Caenorhabditis elegans: one gene and its partners. The protein of the gene in region 4 binds, or shares a complex with, the protein of the main gene of each other region. Each region holds a gene or a part of one and is shown on either strand. Other genes may lie near its edges.

Region 1 (4,917 bases), on a different chromosome or scaffold from region 4:
TTGGCGTTTTTCTTGCGTGTTATGCAATTGCTAGCAGAGACGGCAGATGGTACACAGGTACCTCGAAAACATTATCGATCGTCGTCGGTACACCAGAATCCACGTCATCTCTCCCTGTCCCTCTCAGTCTCCCACACTCTCTACTCGACATGGCAATTTCTGCGTACATCCCGAAAATCGACGAAGAAGCACTCAGAACCGCTTTCCACGCTGAAGCCGAAGATCATGAGCAGCTAGAAAATGCGAACCGCCGACAAGCCGAAAAGGAGAGATTCCGCCAAATTTGGCATCTATTTCTGACGCATTTGGAGCAAGATCCACGGAAAACTGGAAGTTTCTGGCTGCAAGAGCTGCCTGTGTTGCTCCGCGAGGTTTCGAGTTTCGATGAGGATATTTTGGGATTCGGAGCGCTTGATGGTGAGGAGCAATTCGATTTTTTTGCAGTTGCAGGAGAAGCCGAAGTAGACGGGAACAAGTATCCATCATTGTCGGGAATGTGTAAATTGTCGTTTTTCATTATATTTTTCATGTTTTTGCTGGTATTAATTTGCATTTTTGGCTATTTAATAAGTGACAAATAAAATAATAAAAATTTTTTTTTCTCAAAAGCGAAAAAATTTCCTACCAATCCAGTCAAGCTTCGCTCGTTGGCTTCTCTGGAATTCCAGCTGGCAGTCAACGCTAGGACGGCCTGAACGGCTATGTACAAGCCTGGCACGTTGAACGACTCGAACATAATTTCAGCAGTATATTCTCGGTTTTCCGGAGTGTTGAGTGGTGGTTCCGTCTGGAAATTTTCAAATTTTTTCGTGGAAAACTGCCTAATATTCGCTATTTAAAGGTGGTGTAGTCGATTTTTAAAAAAAAAATTGCTTTATTAGACTCAAAAATTGTCTGAAAACACCGAATTTCATAATGAATTGAAAACTTCTCAAAAAAAAAGTTATGGCGGCTCCAAAAAAATGGCCTAAAACAGTTAAAATTTGAAATTTGGCCTTTTGAAATTACCGTCAAATTTTAGATATATAAGTTGATTATTGTGCGTTTTCAACTCGATTTAGGTATTTTAAAGCCGGTGGACTTGGAGATTTTTAAATTTTTATTACCAAATCTCCAAGTCCACCGACTTTAAAATACCTAAATCGAGTTGAAAACGCACGATAATAAACTTATATATCTAAAATTTGACGGTAATTTCAAAAGGCCAAATTTCAAATTTTAACTAATTTTAGCCGATTTTTTGAACCGTCATAACTGTTTTTTTTCAAGAAGTTTCATTATGAAATTCGGTGTTTTTAGACAATTTTGATTCTAATAAAGCAAAAAAAAAATTCGACTACACCAACTTTAAGCCTGAAAGTTGAAGCTCAGGTAGATCGTGGCGGGACCCTTACTTTAAAAAAAATTAGAAACAAAATTTTGTAAATTTCCAGAAAAAAAAAACGATTTTTTAAATAGAAAATTAAAGCCATATCTTCAAAAAAACAGCTTTTCCTATAAAATTAGGATTTTAATACGAAAAAAAATTTTTTTTGCTATTTTTTTGAAAAAATGTAGATTTTTCATTTAATTAATTTTAATTAATAAAGCTTAAAAATACCGGAGTTTTCGGGGGAAATTCCTTGATTTTTCTCCCGTTTTTTTCAAAATTTTTACGTATTTTTTAAATTGGTATCACATGCTTTATTTCCAAAAAAATTGTCCTGTCAAGACCGGATACCGTAATTTTAGAGTCAAAAATTGCAAAATTTCGTGATTTTTAAGCTTTTTTCATCGAAATTTATCACTTTTCACGTGTTTTTTCTGTAATATATAGCTTTTCACCGATTTACATCCATTTTACAGGATATTTTCTATTAAAAAAACGGATTTTCGACCCCCTTTTCTTTTAAAAGTGGCCAAAATATTGTTCCAGAGCATTTTTTCCCGAATTTTCTGCTTCTCTCCCGTACCAAAAGGAAGAAATGATCCTCTGGCTCGGCTCTCAAGTATTTGAAAATGCACTGCTCCCAGTATCGTTCCATAAGATCCCAGTCTTCGACGATTCCATGCCGAATTGGATACTAAAAAATTTAATTTTAATTTTAAACATTTTTTCCATATGCTCCTGATACCTAATATCAATGTGAAAAATTCAAAAAATAAAATTCCCGATTTTATAAAAAATTATATTTTTTTTAATCCAAAAGTCCAAAATGTTAAATTCAGAAACGACAAATTTTGCATGATAACCGTGCCGCATGTGTGGATTTACGAGACTAATATTTTTCATTCATTTTTATTTAATTTTCACACCGATTTTCCCGATTTTTCCTTGTTTTACATTAAAATTATCATGATTTCCATTAATTTATGACTTTTTATTAATGAAAACAACAAAAATACGTGAAATATTCGATTTTTTCAGCAAAAGTTCGATATTTCTTGTAATTTAATTTGTTTTCATTAATAAAAAGTAAATTTATGAATAAATTTATGAAAATCCCAAGAATTTCAATGTATAACAACGAAAAAACGGGAAAATCGGTGTGAAAATTAAATAAAAATGAATTAAAAATATTAATCTCGTAAATCCACACCTGCGGCACGGTTATCATGCAAAATTTTGTCGTTTAAATTTAAAATTAGGATTTTTGGATTTTAAAAAATTATATAAAATCTGGGAATTAAAAAAAAAAATTTCACATTGATATTTGACATCAGGAGCATAAATATGGTCTATTAACTACGAACTTTGACAGTATAATTCGTAGCGGCCGGCGACAAAGCTTCATCTCCAATAAAGAAATCAAGATCGTCTATCCCGGCTCCGACTCGGTTATTCCAGCGCATCGCCTGCGAATTCGAGCTCGCCACCTTGTCCTTCACGGCAATTGCTGGAAAATTCACTGGATTTTATGAAAAATAGGCTGAAAATCAATAAATCTAACCAGATGGAATAATAAACTGAGGTTCCGTGTTCCCAGCATATCCGAGCTTCGTATAACCCGTTCCATTGTCGATCACACATGCCGGTAGTTGATGGGCCGACATGCTTGCTGCAAAAAATTTGGGATTTTTTTTGTTTTAAATGGGAGAAAAAGACGGAATTTCAGTCTAGCGGTTTAGAAATTCGAAAAAATGGGCTAATTTCCGCTGAAATCTCCAATCTTGGAGCGTTTTTAAGCCGGAAATTGATAATTTTGCAAATAAATTAATTTTGTTCCTTTTTTGGCTTCAAATATACCTAAATTAACGCAATTTTCAACCGCTGTGACACAAAAAATTGGCAAAAATGGAGTTTTTCGCTGAAATGTTTAACAAAAATTTAGCTAAATAATTTTATGACGATTTAAAATTTCAAAAAAAAAAAAGATTTAGCAAAAATCGTAAAATTTTGCCATTTTTGGTTTTTTAAAACATATTTTTTCGTCGATTTAGCTACTTATTAAGCCAGTATTTTAGCAATACGTAACTATCGGCTAAAAGTACCTAAATCCACGAAAAAAAAAGGATAAAATCACTCAAATGTGTCAAAAATCAAATAAAAATCAATTTCCGACGGCTGTGACACGAAAAAATTGCAAAATTGGGGATTTTCGTTAAAAATAGCCCATTTTTTCGAAATTTTGAAGTTCAAAAATGCGAAAAAAAAAACTCAGTTTTGGCTTGGATAATCGGGTTTATTTGATTATTGTTCTATTTTCCATATTTAAGTGATTTTTCTCGCGTTTTTTCGCTGATTTTGGCAATTTTTAAGCCGTTATACATAACTATCGGGTTAAAATATCCAAATCCACTAAAAAACAGGATAAAAATTATTTAAATATGCCAATATCAAATAAAAATCATTTTCCAACGGCTTTTTGGAGTTTTCCGTTAAAATTAGAAAATTTTTCCGCATTTTTTTACCGCCATAAATTTTTCTGTCATATTACGATATGAAATTCGGTATTTTCAAGTCACCTAGAGGATCAGAATCCAAAAAATCGTGAAAAAATAACGTAAAACTGCCGAACTGCACTAGTTAAACAATCGGCGAGTGCGGTGACTCATCCAAAGAATAAACAGAAAATCGATATTTTTACGATTGAAATTCACAGGAAATTCTTGTAGGGGGAAAAGAAGAAGAACAATTGTTTTAATCCTTTGCTGAGAAACTGAGAAACTGGGGGTGGGGGATCAAAAATTAATACCTTAATTGTTCAGTTTATTCGTGATTTTTGGATTTTTCGGGTCTTTTCCACGTCAAAAATGATTCTAAAATTCAGATTTTATTATATATATTATTTTAAATCAATAAATTCCGATAAAACAATCAGTTTTCAAGGAAATATGTGGACAGACATCATTGGACCACTTAGAAATTGCGAAATTCACTGAAAATTATTGATTAATTCGAAATAACTGAATAATTAGGTATATGTTAACTGAATTCCATGGAAATTTGCAAGAAAAATGAGCCAAAACGCGATAAAATCCTGGCTTTTGCCTTTTTCCGGTGCCAAAATGGTTTGTGTGCATTTTGTCGTAGTCCGCAATACCAAAACCCTAGACTTTACGACAATTTTCTTACTGTATTTTTTTTGAATTTTTTCGAGCAAATTTCTCCATGTAAATTACTGATTTAGAGAACATTTTCTTACCCCAAAGATAAATGAAAAAAAGTAAAAAAATCATGATTTATTCAAATAAAATAGACCAGCATGCAATCATAATCTTTCTGTGGGGTTTAAATAATTTTTAAAAACACATAATTTAAATAGAAAACATGAACCGCCGCCCAACGGGAAAATAATATGAAGGGACCAAAAGCAATGGGAATTGTGGAAGAACAAGGCAAATAAATTACAATAATTAATATCACACAAAAAACGAAAAAATTATCATATTTCACAACTTTTAGCTCTTCAGAGTTGAGATTCGGAGCCCAAGAAC
Region 2 (3,270 bases), 4.0 Mb from region 4:
AATCAACACGGAATGTACAATCTTGACGAACAAATCCCATATATTGGCCATGGTTCAAATGAATACGAGCACCTGCGGACCATTTTGCACAATTTCGAGTAGATGGAAGTGCGATCTGAAATTTTTTTTTTGAGGACTATGAAATATTTAATTTACAACGAATTTGTTGTTATTAGAATAGGAACCTAGAAGATAAAATTTTAAAAAATGTGAGAACTGGAAAAAGTATTCAGAAGCATATAAACGTTGTCTTAATTTATAATATGACTTCTCTATGAATATAGCCAAAATGATCGATATTTTTAATCCAAAAATCAAACATTTTTGGTATACGAACCTCGCCTTCGACGGAGAATAATGTCGATGTTTGCTCAGTTCTGCTCACTTCTTCTGTTGCACTGCCGAGCACTATCAGGGAGAATAAAAGTAGAATAGACTTCATTTCTGAAATTGATTTGTCAATTTCCAACTTAATAATCATTTTAAAATATTAAAGCTCGTAAATGTTTCACGAGATATTTCAGATCATACATATTGCAAAAATTGAATAAATAATTCATAAAGTCAGTGTGCGGTAAAAAAAATCGATAATCAAAAAGGCAAAATAGGACCTAAAACAGGAAATTTTTGGGAGGGGAGTCATTTTCAGAAACAAAAAGTGAAAAAATTGAGAATAAAGATGATATTTACACAAATTGATCAAAAAACCGTGTTCACATAATAGTTTAAAGTCTTCGGAATTTGAGTGAAAATGAGAAAAATGAATTGGGAATCATGGGGAGAAAATTAATTGAAACGCTTCAAAAATTCTTCAGCAGAAACACGGGCACGGGCGTTGAGAGACAGCTTCATCTCGGAAATTTCCTGGAAATTTATGGAATTTTTTAAAAATTAACTTAAAATGTTCACCTTATCAATTTCCTGCATAAAATGAAGCAAAAAGTCGACAAGTTTGTGCTTGAACATTGCTTCTGTGTGAGATGCTGTGATGAGGAACGAGATGTCATAACCTAAAATTATCGCTTTAATCTCTGAATATTAGTATTAATTCTGACCTGGCAGTGGCTTGCGACGGAGCACAAAGAAGTTATCGGCTCTTTGGCACATGAATCGAGTGAACTTGTGGCACAGAATCTTCTCGATTTCGTCGGATTGTTTGATGGCGATTGATATTCTGACAGAATTGACGGAGGGTTCGATGAGTACTCGTTCCTGTTTGTTTCGAGCAACAACAACTGGCGTCATGAGCAGTTCTTTCGATGTTTGAACTTCCACCTACAATTTTATTATAATATACAAATAGAATAATACATTTAAATAGTTTTTGAGCGAAAAACTATTGCAATTGGCGGCGGACTGATTTAAATTATTCAATCTTCACACTTTGCAAGTCATTTTACTGTTATAAATCTTACTTCTGGTTTGTTGTGTCTCTCGACCACCTGCGAACTGAATTGCTCAAGACAGAGAGCTGCCTGGAGCGTGTGACGCACGGCCTCCAGATATGGTTGGAGTGTTGCGCTCATTACCTGCAATGCGCATGCTTATTGATTTTTTTATTGACGAAACAGTTTGAGACATTATTTAGAAGTGAAAAAAGATTGCATGGAACAAAATAAAACATGAAATACCGGCGAAAATCGTAAAATTGGAGTCGATAATCCGAAAATGAATCATTATTTGCGTCGTTTTGAAAGTAATGCAAACACGCTCCGCTGCACTTTTTGTTTCGAGTAGCGCGCGAAGACAAATTTATCATCCATTCTTTTAAAAATTGTCAATTTTAAAATTAATTTTCTGATTTTCAATCATTCCACTTTCCCATTTTGCAAAATATTTTGCGTTTTCAGTAAAATTTAAAAATTTAAACCTTTCAGAATGACTACTGCCATCCAATATCAAGTTATTCCTTTAGCTGACCGTGAGCACAGCAACAAAGTGGCGTCGATTCTGGAAAACAAGTACAAAACTGCGACAAATAAACGAATCACATTGAATGAGCGCTTCGGAGTTCTCGGTAAATGTTTTCAAGCATTTTTGAATCATAATAACATAGTTGTCTTCCAGAAAAGGGGTACACTATTCAAGCCACTGAGCCAGAGACTGTCAAAAACGATTCTGATGTCTTCTTTGTCGTTCACGACCGGAACTTGAATTCGAAAAAGGAATTTGTGGAGGTAATTATTTAGACTATTCGAACTTTTAATCAAAGCACTGATATTAACACAACTCTTAATGTTTTCCTTAAAAAATGAAACTTTGAGATTTTATGAGAACCTGGTTATGTTTCAGAACTATCTCGCAAAAAATCCAATTGTCAATTCACCGGAGAAAGTTTTCGAAGAGGAGGACAAGGAGAATGCACCGACCAAGAAAGCTGTTTTGAAGCCGTCCTCTACTGATGAGAAGAAGCTCACCAGCTCGGATATCTACATTCAAGAAATCACCAGAAGCATTCTTCAATCCGTTTAATTTTTCCATAAATTGCAAAATTCATTTTCCAAAATTTATGTATTTTTCTCACAATTTTTGAGCAGCCCTTTTCTTCTTTAAGTGTTATAATTTCCCTCGTTTTCCCACACCCATGAACTTCAGTGCAAATTTTCATAATCTTATCCTACGATTTTCTGTGGTATTCCTTCGATAAGTAAATCGTTCAAAGTAAGTGCTTGTTTGATTTTCGTTTGAGCACGCAATAATTTCAAGATTGGCATAAAAAATAACTGAAATGGGAGCAGAAGTAATGGGAGAACGCTATGCTTCAATGCGGGATTTATTGCGCATTTGGTATTGAAACGAAAAGAGTAACATTTAAGTTCAAAGGACAGAGCATATGTGTGTAGGGGTCTCGCCGCGAGAAAAACATATTAAAAATAATCTTCTGTTAACGTAAGAAGACATTTAAACCAAGTATCTTTAATAAATACGATTCCCGCGGCGAGACCCTTTTGTATAAGCGCGTCTCCCTTGAAACTTGTAGAATTTTGCCAAAAATGCACAATAAGTGAATTTTCCAGTGGAATAGTGTCGGAATACAAAAGTGTTGAAAATCCTGATATGTAAACTACTACTACCGGAGCCGAAGCCGCGAGGAAGTCTACCTGAAAGTGAGAAAGAATCTAAAGATCCTCAGTCAATCCCCGAATGAATAATAACCGATCAAAAGAGCATGTGCTACGATCTGAACATCAGATAAAATTTGAAATTTCCTAGGGAAAAGACTGTTCTGAAATATGTGCATTTTAAGCATTCAACCTCTCAATTGGTAAA
Region 3 (3,375 bases), about 12 Mb from region 4:
TTCATTCTCTGACTGGAAAACGGCAAAAAAACTGATTTAAAACAATTTTTAACAGGAAAAAAGAAAAAAAAGTACCATAAACTTTTTTGCGCGCCGAGACCCATCTGAACAAATCTGTGCGCCTTTAAGACGGAAATCTTGGAAAATTACGGGAAATTAATAGTTTTTTTCCCGATTTTATTTGAAAAAACCTGAAAATTTTTCGATTTTCTAATAAAAAAGGCCTATATTTGGGGTTTTCTGAAAAAAATTCGACTATTTTCCAATTTTCTCGGAGAAAATCTTAAAATTTTCAATTTTTCTCAATTTCCAGGCTCTTCCAGTCTCCCAACTTCCCGAAGAGGTTCGAAGTCACTTGGCACGTTGCCAGATAACTGCTCCAGAAGTCGTACACGATACCGTGGCGTTTTTGTTGTCAGTGATGGGATCCAAGCAGACAAATTATCGGTAGAGCATAGAGATTTCGCGTATTTCGCGCACAACATATTTGACGCGCGCAAAATATGTTGCGTTACCGTAATAAAATGATGAAATCGGAATTTTAATGAATATTTTAAAGCAGCACAAAAAGTAAAACTGGACGCAATATAAATATAATTACATGGAAAAAAAAATGGGAAAAGTGAAAAAATTTTGAGCCAGATACAACAATAATTAATCGATAATTCACAAATTAACACCCTGTCCAACGAGCCCCTTGTCCATGAATCGTCTTCTCGCGAAACAGAGCCACCACTTGCTCGGACGATCTTGGGGATCCGGGAACGCGAGATCACACAGACGGGCGCCGATTTCTTGGCGAATTTGTTGCAAATAGGCACGCATTTCGTCCTCGTCCGGTTTCGATTGGGGCGCCTTGTACATGCTGTTCAGTGGGAATCCATTTTCACCGGGAATTGGAAGCAAATGACTGAGAGCCAAGGCGTGAAGATCCTTTTGGCCGGCTATCTTGTTTGGGCTCTGAAAATTTGAAAAAATTTGCAAAAAAAAAACATGTTTTTACGCTTTATTTCACTCAAAATAGCCCGAAAAGACCGAATTTTGTAACTAGAATTTTTTTTTATAATTTCCAAAATTTTGAGAAAAAAAAAAGTTGGATTTCTCCGAAGAAAATCGGAAAAATTTCGGATTTTTTCAGTGAAAATCGAAAAATTTTCGGATTTTTTCAGGGAAAACCAGAAAAATTTTGGAATTTTCAGGGAATATTAAACAATTTTTAGATTTTTTTCAGGGAAAAACCAAAAAAATTCGATTTTTTCAGAGAAAACCTTAAAATTTGTGGATTTTTCAGAGAAAATTGAAAGAATTTGGGATTTTTTCAGAGAAAATCGAAAATGTTTCGAATTTGAAATTTTCTACTTAAAAAAATCTGTTTTCGGTAGGAATGTTCAAAATATCCATTGAAATTCGGTATGTTTGGGTCTTTTTTTCTTATTTTTCAATCTAAAAAGTAGGTTTTTTTCGTGCAAAATCCGTACTTTTTGCAATTTTCTGAGGCACTCGGTGATGTAGAAGATGAGATAGATCATTGTACGGTCCGCGGGACCTTTGATCTGAAAATTTCTCAATTTTAATAGGGAAAAATCTCGAAAATCAACCTCAAATTCGCGGAAAAAGATGTTCGGCTTGAAGTAGGTGAGCGCTTCGTCGATGATGTCATCCTGATTGGTTTCTGCAATAATTTTAATATATAATATAGGTTTTTTCAATCAATTTTTGAAGACTTACGAGGCGCTGGACCCTTGAAATTGGTTCGAATCGGAAGTTTTCCCATATTTGTGTTGCCCAATGGCAAAACTTTGAGTTCAGTGTCGAATTTTGAGTGGTATGCCGGCATTTCACTGAAAAATAAGTGTTTTGTTTGGAAAAATGCATAGAAAACGGCTTATTTTCGGATACCCGAGGGGGGGGGGGGGTAAGTACATAATGAGTCACTGCGGCTGCGAAAAAAAATCGATAAATTGTGAAATTCGAGTTTTAAATTAAAATATAAGTATTTTATTCGATAAAAATGCAGTTTTTGAAGCGATAATGTCGTTGCGGACGCGAAAATTAAAGTAAAACCCGAAAATACACTTTTATTCGGAAATTCGTGTTAAAATATATGAAAACTTGGAATTAATATGATTAATATCAGCTTACAAGTTTCCTATAATCAGATATTTAAGAAAAATTGGAAAAAATCAAAGATTTTCTGCTTTTTAAACGTTTTTTCTGATGAAATTCTCTCCAGGAACGGAAAAATAAATAATAATCTCGTGTAAGTTTACGGTAAACAAGGCGCGACATCGGAATATCGGAGCATCGTTTGGAAATTTTTAATGAAATTTCGCGATTTTTTGCGAAAAAAACGATAAATTCAGGGAAATTCCAGCTGCAAAACAAAGCAAAAAACGTTAAAAATGTATGATTTATAATCAATAAGTCAAAATATCACAGTGAAAATGTGCAAAATGTATAAAAATCAATCCCTCATCGCTTTCTTCTGAGTTTGCTCGATTTGCTCATGAAAACTTTGTTTCGAGAGCTGTATATAGTCGATCGGGGAGATTGTGAGCAGCGAAACCCAACGTCCCAGCGATTTGAACGAGTCGGCGGCGAAGATGAAGCTTCGAGCAGTTCTGGAAAAAAATCGGATAATTTTAGGAATTTTCAATCGATTTTTCATCGATTTTCGATAAAACCGATAAAAATTCAGTTTTTTTTTGGAATTTAGTATTAATTTTTCGTGTTGAGACCCGGAAAAAACGCACGATTTGAATTTGATTTCAAAAGTGAAATCCTTGCCAATCTTATTCTCATCACATAATTCGATAAAACAGTCTTCAATAATTAGTAGTAAAAATGGAGGAGCCGACGTCTCCTCTTCGGTTTTATTGTACACGAAAAGCATATTGGCCTTGAGAACACCCCAGCCGGCACGCCATTGGAAATCCTGAAAAAAACTTTTTTTTTTAATAAAAAAATCATTTTTTTGATTTTTTAAATTTTCAAATTACTCCAAATTTCCCATATTTTGTTTTAAAAAAATTCAAAAAATTTCAAAAATCTTATATTTCAGCTTGAAAGCGCGAAACAATTTTCAAACTCGCGCCAGAAAAATTCTCATTGGAGCGCGCCATGCCATGTCGATTTACGAGGGGTTTTTTTGCAGCCAAATTCGGTTTTTTAAACCAGTTTTCTTCATTTTCTTCGGTTTTTTTAAATTAAAATGTGTTTTTTCGTGTAAATTTGGGTATTTTATTATTTTAAAAATTGAAAAATCAGTAAGTTTCGTTCACTTTACACGAAATAAATTATATTTCAAAAAAAAAAAATCAAAGAAACTAAAATTTGCAAGTTTCTTTGATTTTTTTGTTGAAAAATTTTTTTTTT
Region 4 (5,515 bases):
TTTTCTGAATTCAGCATACATGAATTGCAAAAAATTGAAGAAAAAAAATGTGAAGCGTATTTGCAGGACAACTAAAAGATGTGAATGAGTATTTTAGATCATGTGAGAGAACAAGGGAAGTATTTCAAGTTAACCCCGACTTCTGGATGAAATCTATGTTAAAAGAGTACCTCCTAAATAGGCCGGCAAAAAAACACTTTGAACTGGATAAAAATCGAGCTGAATAGTGTTTTTTTTTTCACTACTTTAGAGGCCCGTAAAATTGCTCCAAATGATAATATTTGAAAATTTTTATGATTTTTAGGAGATTTCTTCATTATTACATTACATGTGTTCAGGTGGACTCCTCGTTGTTTGCCATGACGCGTAAACACCATTCCCGCAAGTTTCGTAGGTCAAACTACTAGGGTCTACCTGAATACCTGTTCTCCTCTCTCTCCTCCGATCCCTATGCATTTTCAGCCCGTCCATGTTTTTCTTCTTTGAAATCGGATAGTAATTGATATCATTCCACAAATTGTGCCTTAACTATCGCTCTCCATTTTACTGCAATAATTCATTTCATATCAAAATTTCACGAACCTCATAAGAACATTTTACAATCAAAGCAATAAATAAGGTTTTAAAGCGAAAACAGAAAAAAAATATTTGGTAACAATTGTGATAATTTGTACATTTATTGGGTCTGAAAAGTTCTTCCATGGAACGTCTTCTTTTCTCCTTTGACCTCTGGACGTGCCCGATTGAGAACCTTCAAGAAATCAGTGGTCTTGGCACGCATTCTGGTGTGAAGGTAGACTTTGGAACATTTGATATGATAATGAAGATAGTCACGGAACGAATGAATCAAATCAATCGTATTGTCTTTTGTCTTCTTATTTGTGTGACGTGGGAACAACACAAATGTAATGTATCCAACATTGTCTCCAACACGGGCTTCTGGAAGATCTTTAAGCTCCAAAGGTGGTTCACCGAGTGAGTAGAGTACTGCTGGAGCAGTTTGACTGGCTTTTCGGCCTTCACGGAATTCTTGAAGGAACACTTTTCCGATTATCACATCGTCAGCGTCCTTGAAAACTGTACTGAAGATTACGGTCACACGATCCGCTTTCGCTTCAATGTACCTGAAAATCATTGGGGTTTAAAGTATATTATTTGCAGTATTACAATTAAAAAGTACTGTTTTTCAGAATTTTTTGTTCAAAAAATAAGAAATTTGTGCGTATTGAAAAAGTGAAAAACACTTTTTTATTAATTCTTACTATTTTTCAGAGAAAATGGCAAATTTGTGATTATTATTAGATCTCCAAATAAGTTCCGGGTCAAAAATCATAACTTTGTTCGCTGCGAATCGATTTTTATGAAACTTTGGGAATTTATGTTATCAACCATGATCTTTCATTTGACAATAGTCACAAAATTTTTTGGCCGTCCGAAGTGTCCGTACTCGGAGCCAATTTTTTCAGGCATTTTCAGATCTCGCTTCTTTTCAGGTTTCAACTGAGGTTTGTGTGCGGATATTGCTTAATTAAGTACACAATGTAAGAAAACAAGAAAAGTTTGAAAAAAAATCCGTCCAAAAAAATTTTTTTTGTCGCTCGTCAAAAAATCTACAAAAAAATTTTTGTCGAAAATTCTTGAATTTTTATACAAAAATGATGTAACCATGTGCAAACTATTTTTACACATACAAAACATTTGAGTATGAAATTTGGATCTTGAGAAATACTCCAAAAACTCGAAAATAGTTCGAAAAAGCTGTGTTTTTTGTTATTTTTTTTTAGTGAGACGCACTAAATTGAAATTTTTTGTATGTGTAAAAATAGTTTGCACATGGTTACATCATTTTTGTATGAAAAATTAAGAATTTTCGACAAAAAATTTTTTGAAGATTTTTTGACGATCGACAAAAAAATTTTTTTGGACGGATTTTTTTCAAACTTTTCTTGTTCTCTTACATTGTGTACTAAACTAAGCAATATCCGCACACAAACCTTAGTTGAAACCTGAAAAGAAGCGAGATCTGAAAAATGCCTGAAAAAATTGGCTATGAGTACGGGCACTTCGGACGGCCAAAAAATTTTGTGACTATTGTCAAATGAAAGATCATGGTTGATAACATAAATTCCCACAATTTCATAAAAATCGATTCGCAGCGAACAAAGTTATGATTTTTGACCCGGAACTTATTTGGAGACCTAATAATAAATTATTTATTTGAAAAATTGTAGAGAGTCGATTCAGGGGTGGGCGGAAAACCGGCAAAACGGCAAAGTGCAGGAATTGAAAAATTCCGGCAAACTTGGAATTTTTTCGAAATATGAAAAAATCGAAAATTTTTATATCTTTTGATAGTTAAATAATAAATCAAATTCTCTGAAAATCCACGAAAACTGGAATAAAAACGCCACTTTTCAGCCTTTCTCTGTGAAATTATTTTAATTGAACAAATCTTTATAATATTGAACATTTTTCAACTTTCCTCGTTTAATGGGGTTAATCAAGTAATTTTGCAAAATGTGTTCAAAAACATTTATGACGCCACAACTGTATTAAAATACATGTTTTTATGTATTTTAAAACAGTTGTGGCGTAGTTTTTCTACACTTTTAAATTTTTCGACACTTCTCGAATAACGCCATAACACAACCGGTACTCACATTGTCTCATCATCTCTATAATTAATAACAGCTCTCTTATGCCCCTCCTGGCCGGCCTCTTGGAATTCGAAATACTTTTCAAAGACTGAAGCAAAACAATTTCTCTTCAAAGCAGAAGCTGCCTGCACCAAATCCGTTGTATCTGCCGGAAGATCGGCCAAATTGTATTCCAGAGTGACATTAAATCCTTGTTCCGGAGTTGAACGCATATGACCACCGTACACACGACGAAGGAGCTGGAAATTTTGGAAAATCAAATATTCATCAGAAAAAAGCGGCGACATACATCATCCGCTCCGTGTTGCTGCAGTTCCGTGTAGAATTTTAGCGAGATGCTCAGCTGAAAATTAGTTTTAAAAATTATTAGACTGTGAAAAAGTTTCTAACAATTATCTTGGTTCTATCGCCATCTGGATTCGAAAGTTTGTAGAGAACTCCGTCAAAATCGGCGAATGTCACGTTGACCGACTCTGGTTTTCCACTGAAAAAGGTGATTATTAGTGAGAGTAACAATATATTAAGGTCTCGCCACGATCAAATCATTTTCAATTTAACGCTATGTGCCTTCAAAAAGTACATTACTCTCACACACATCGTTGTTTCTCTGGCACTTCAGTTGAAGAACCATGGAGAAATTACTATACTCTTTATAAAAACATACACTTTTTAAAGCCTGAAAATGCTAAATTCGTGGCGAGACCTATATCTACGGGAAAACCGCACACAAGTTTACTTTTTCTTGGTATTGTTTTCAACAAACGTTTGAAAAAATAACGAAATTTCCGTAATAATTTCGGAAAGGTAATGTTTTTAATTTAAAAATAAAGGAAAATTATGCAGTTATGTTTTCTTTCAAAATTACAAAAATACGTTTAAAATTCAAAAAAAAACCAACCCTTCCTTCGCGTTTGCAAATTTTTGCTCGAGAAGTTCCACGATAATTCGGTTGTTTTGCTCCAAAATGATCATTTTTCTGAAAGTGTAGAAAATAGAGAGAGAAATGTACAAAAACAATTAAAAAGGAATTAAAATACAAAACCGCGACCAGCGACGGAATAAGAAGGGTATTAAATGCATAGAGAATTCTGAATTCATTGTATTTAAAATGAAGGAAAACTGTGAAAACCACGACGGTTGAACAAAATGAAAAGGGAAACAACAACAAAATCAACAAGAAAGAAATGAGAAAGAAACGACGGAGAAGGCAAAAGGGAAGGTGACTAAACAGTATTATATTTACTCAAAGAATCTGTGTGCAGTGGAGCGCTCTTTCCTCCCATTCATTAAAGATGGAAGGGGGTGCATTTGAAGTGAAATCGGGGATAATTAATTGAATTTTTAGAAAATGTATCGGCGAATATCTAATTTAGAAAAAAAAGAAGTTTTCGTCCGATTTTGAAAAATACATTTTCCCGTCTAAATTGAGCGTTTTAAAAATAAAAATTTTTTTTTCGAATTCTTGAGAATTTGAAAAAAAAATCTCAAGCGAAAATATTGAACATTTCCATATTTTCGAGCATGATATTTTGAATATCGGTTTTTTTTTATATTTTAGCTCGAAATCACGAATTTCAAAAATTTGTCAAAATTAACTTTACCGAATTCACAAGTTTAATCCTTTTTAAACTTGTGAATTCGGTAATGTTAATTTTTAATCCTTTTTAAACTTGTGAATTCGGTAATGTTAATTTTGACAAATTTTTGAAATTCGTGATTTCGAGCTAAAATAAAAAAAAACCGATATTCAAAATATCATGCTCAAAAATATGGAAATGTTCAATATTTTCGCTTGAGATTTTTTTTTTCAAATTCTCATTCTCAAGAATTCGAAAAAAATTTTCAAGAATTCGAAAAAAATTTAATGCAAACGAAGATATTTCTTTTTTCCATATTTTTTTTGAGCATGATATTTTGAATATCTGTTTTTTTATATTTCAGCTTGAAATCACGAACTAAAAAATATTTTCAAAAAAAATTTTGTCGAATTCAATTTTATATTTCTATTTAATGTTCAATTTAGACGGAAAAATGTATTTTCAAATAATCGGGCAAAAACTTTTTTTTCTAAATTAGATATTCGGAATGAGAGATAAATTTAAAAATTGTCAACACATTTATTTTCTCTCTCGCACACTGTTCACAATTGCCTTATGAATCGTCGGAACCAGAGCACACGCTCTTTGCTTCGCAAATTCCAAAAGTGATGACGTGGATTTGAGAGGGATTCGTCCGTAAATGTCCACACACGTTGTTTGGCCAAGATTCGGAACGAAAGCGAATGTGACGCCACCGATGGCTCCTTCGGATTCGGAAGTTGATGGATCCGTCAAGCATTCTCCATCAGAATTCATTGCCACATGAACACTGGCCATTAATCCCATATTTTCAATTCCAGAATGAGAAATGGCTAGTGTGACAGCTGAAAGTGCAGTTGAAAGAACACCACCATCATCCGAAAGAACGGTTATCTCGATTTCGATCACTTTTCCAGGATATTTGCTCGCGAAAATCACAGCAGATACTGCAGACGCCAGTTGAGCACGATATTCTGCGACTTTTACCGAATCTTCAATTCCTTTCAGTTCGATTGTGATCTTAGCACGATCCTCTTCCCATTTTCCGTCACCATCAGGTCCTGTGCTGAAAATTTTTAGTTTATATGGCTTAGTTTGTGTTATTTTATTTAGTAGTGATATGTGACAGGTTTACGAGTCTCGAAACGAAAATAATTTTTTAATGGAAAACAGTGCAAAATGGGTGAAAAAGACTAAATTTAATTTTGAAAAACATCAAAAAATTTCCGGCAACTTTTTGAGTTTGATAATCGCGTTTTTTTTGGAAAAATTTGCTTGGAT

The links.
Region 1: arx-4 (region 4) and arx-1 share a complex: the UniProt entries of both Caenorhabditis elegans proteins name them as parts of the arp2/3 complex.
Region 2: arx-4 (region 4) and arx-6 share a complex: the UniProt entries of both Caenorhabditis elegans proteins name them as parts of the arp2/3 complex.
Region 3: arx-4 (region 4) and arx-5 share a complex: the UniProt entries of both Caenorhabditis elegans proteins name them as parts of the arp2/3 complex.

The regions. Positions count from the first base shown.
Region 1 is NC_003279.8:2,890,681-2,895,597, forward strand, and holds the start of arx-1 (Actin-related protein 3), read right to left. Parts: upstream 3,039-4,917; 5' UTR 3,034-3,038; coding exon 2,931-3,033; intron 2,877-2,930; coding exon 2,734-2,876; intron 2,064-2,733; coding exon 1,953-2,063; intron 788-1,952; coding exon 626-787; intron 582-625; coding exon of another isoform or gene 1-581. Other genes in the region: Y71F9AL.6 (Protein PBN1), read left to right, coding at 1-581; copa-1 (Coatomer subunit alpha), read right to left, coding at 4,882-4,917. UniProt on the Caenorhabditis elegans protein: Functions as ATP-binding component of the Arp2/3 complex which is involved in regulation of actin polymerization and together with an activating nucleation-promoting factor (NPF) mediates the formation of branched actin networks.
Region 2 is NC_003281.10:4,876,919-4,880,188, reverse strand, and holds arx-6 (putative actin-related protein 2/3 complex subunit 4), read right to left. Parts: upstream 1,532-3,270; 5' UTR 1,527-1,531; coding exon 1,416-1,526; intron 1,276-1,415; coding exon 1,056-1,275; intron 1,011-1,055; coding exon 910-1,010; intron 865-909; coding exon 787-864; 3' UTR 546-786; downstream 1-545. Other genes in the region: C35D10.1 (ER membrane protein complex subunit 7 homolog), read right to left, coding at 1-115, 338-442; Protein tost-1, read left to right, coding at 1,879-2,017, 2,068-2,177, 2,293-2,472. UniProt on the Caenorhabditis elegans protein: Functions as actin-binding component of the Arp2/3 complex which is involved in regulation of actin polymerization and together with an activating nucleation-promoting factor (NPF) mediates the formation of branched actin networks.
Region 3 is NC_003281.10:12,816,260-12,819,634, forward strand, and holds arx-5 (putative actin-related protein 2/3 complex subunit 3), read right to left. Parts: upstream 1,842-3,375; 5' UTR 1,838-1,841; coding exon 1,729-1,837; intron 1,673-1,728; coding exon 1,599-1,672; intron 1,554-1,598; coding exon 1,479-1,553; intron 961-1,478; coding exon 667-960; 3' UTR 530-666; downstream 1-529. Other genes in the region: BE10.4 (DUF148 domain-containing protein), read left to right, coding at 314-451; Y37D8A.25 (PH domain-containing protein), read right to left, coding at 2,465-2,621, 2,754-2,935. UniProt on the Caenorhabditis elegans protein: Functions as a component of the Arp2/3 complex which is involved in regulation of actin polymerization and together with an activating nucleation-promoting factor (NPF) mediates the formation of branched actin networks.
Region 4 is NC_003281.10:860,424-865,938, reverse strand, and holds arx-4 (putative actin-related protein 2/3 complex subunit 2), read right to left. Parts: upstream 3,634-5,515; 5' UTR 3,630-3,633; coding exon 3,556-3,629; intron 3,142-3,555; coding exon 3,048-3,141; intron 3,001-3,047; coding exon 2,947-3,000; intron 2,897-2,946; coding exon 2,661-2,896; intron 1,125-2,660; coding exon 677-1,124; 3' UTR 543-676; downstream 1-542. Other genes in the region: exos-4.2 (Exoribonuclease phosphorolytic domain-containing protein), read right to left, coding at 4,775-5,300. UniProt on the Caenorhabditis elegans protein: Functions as actin-binding component of the Arp2/3 complex which is involved in regulation of actin polymerization and together with an activating nucleation-promoting factor (NPF) mediates the formation of branched actin networks.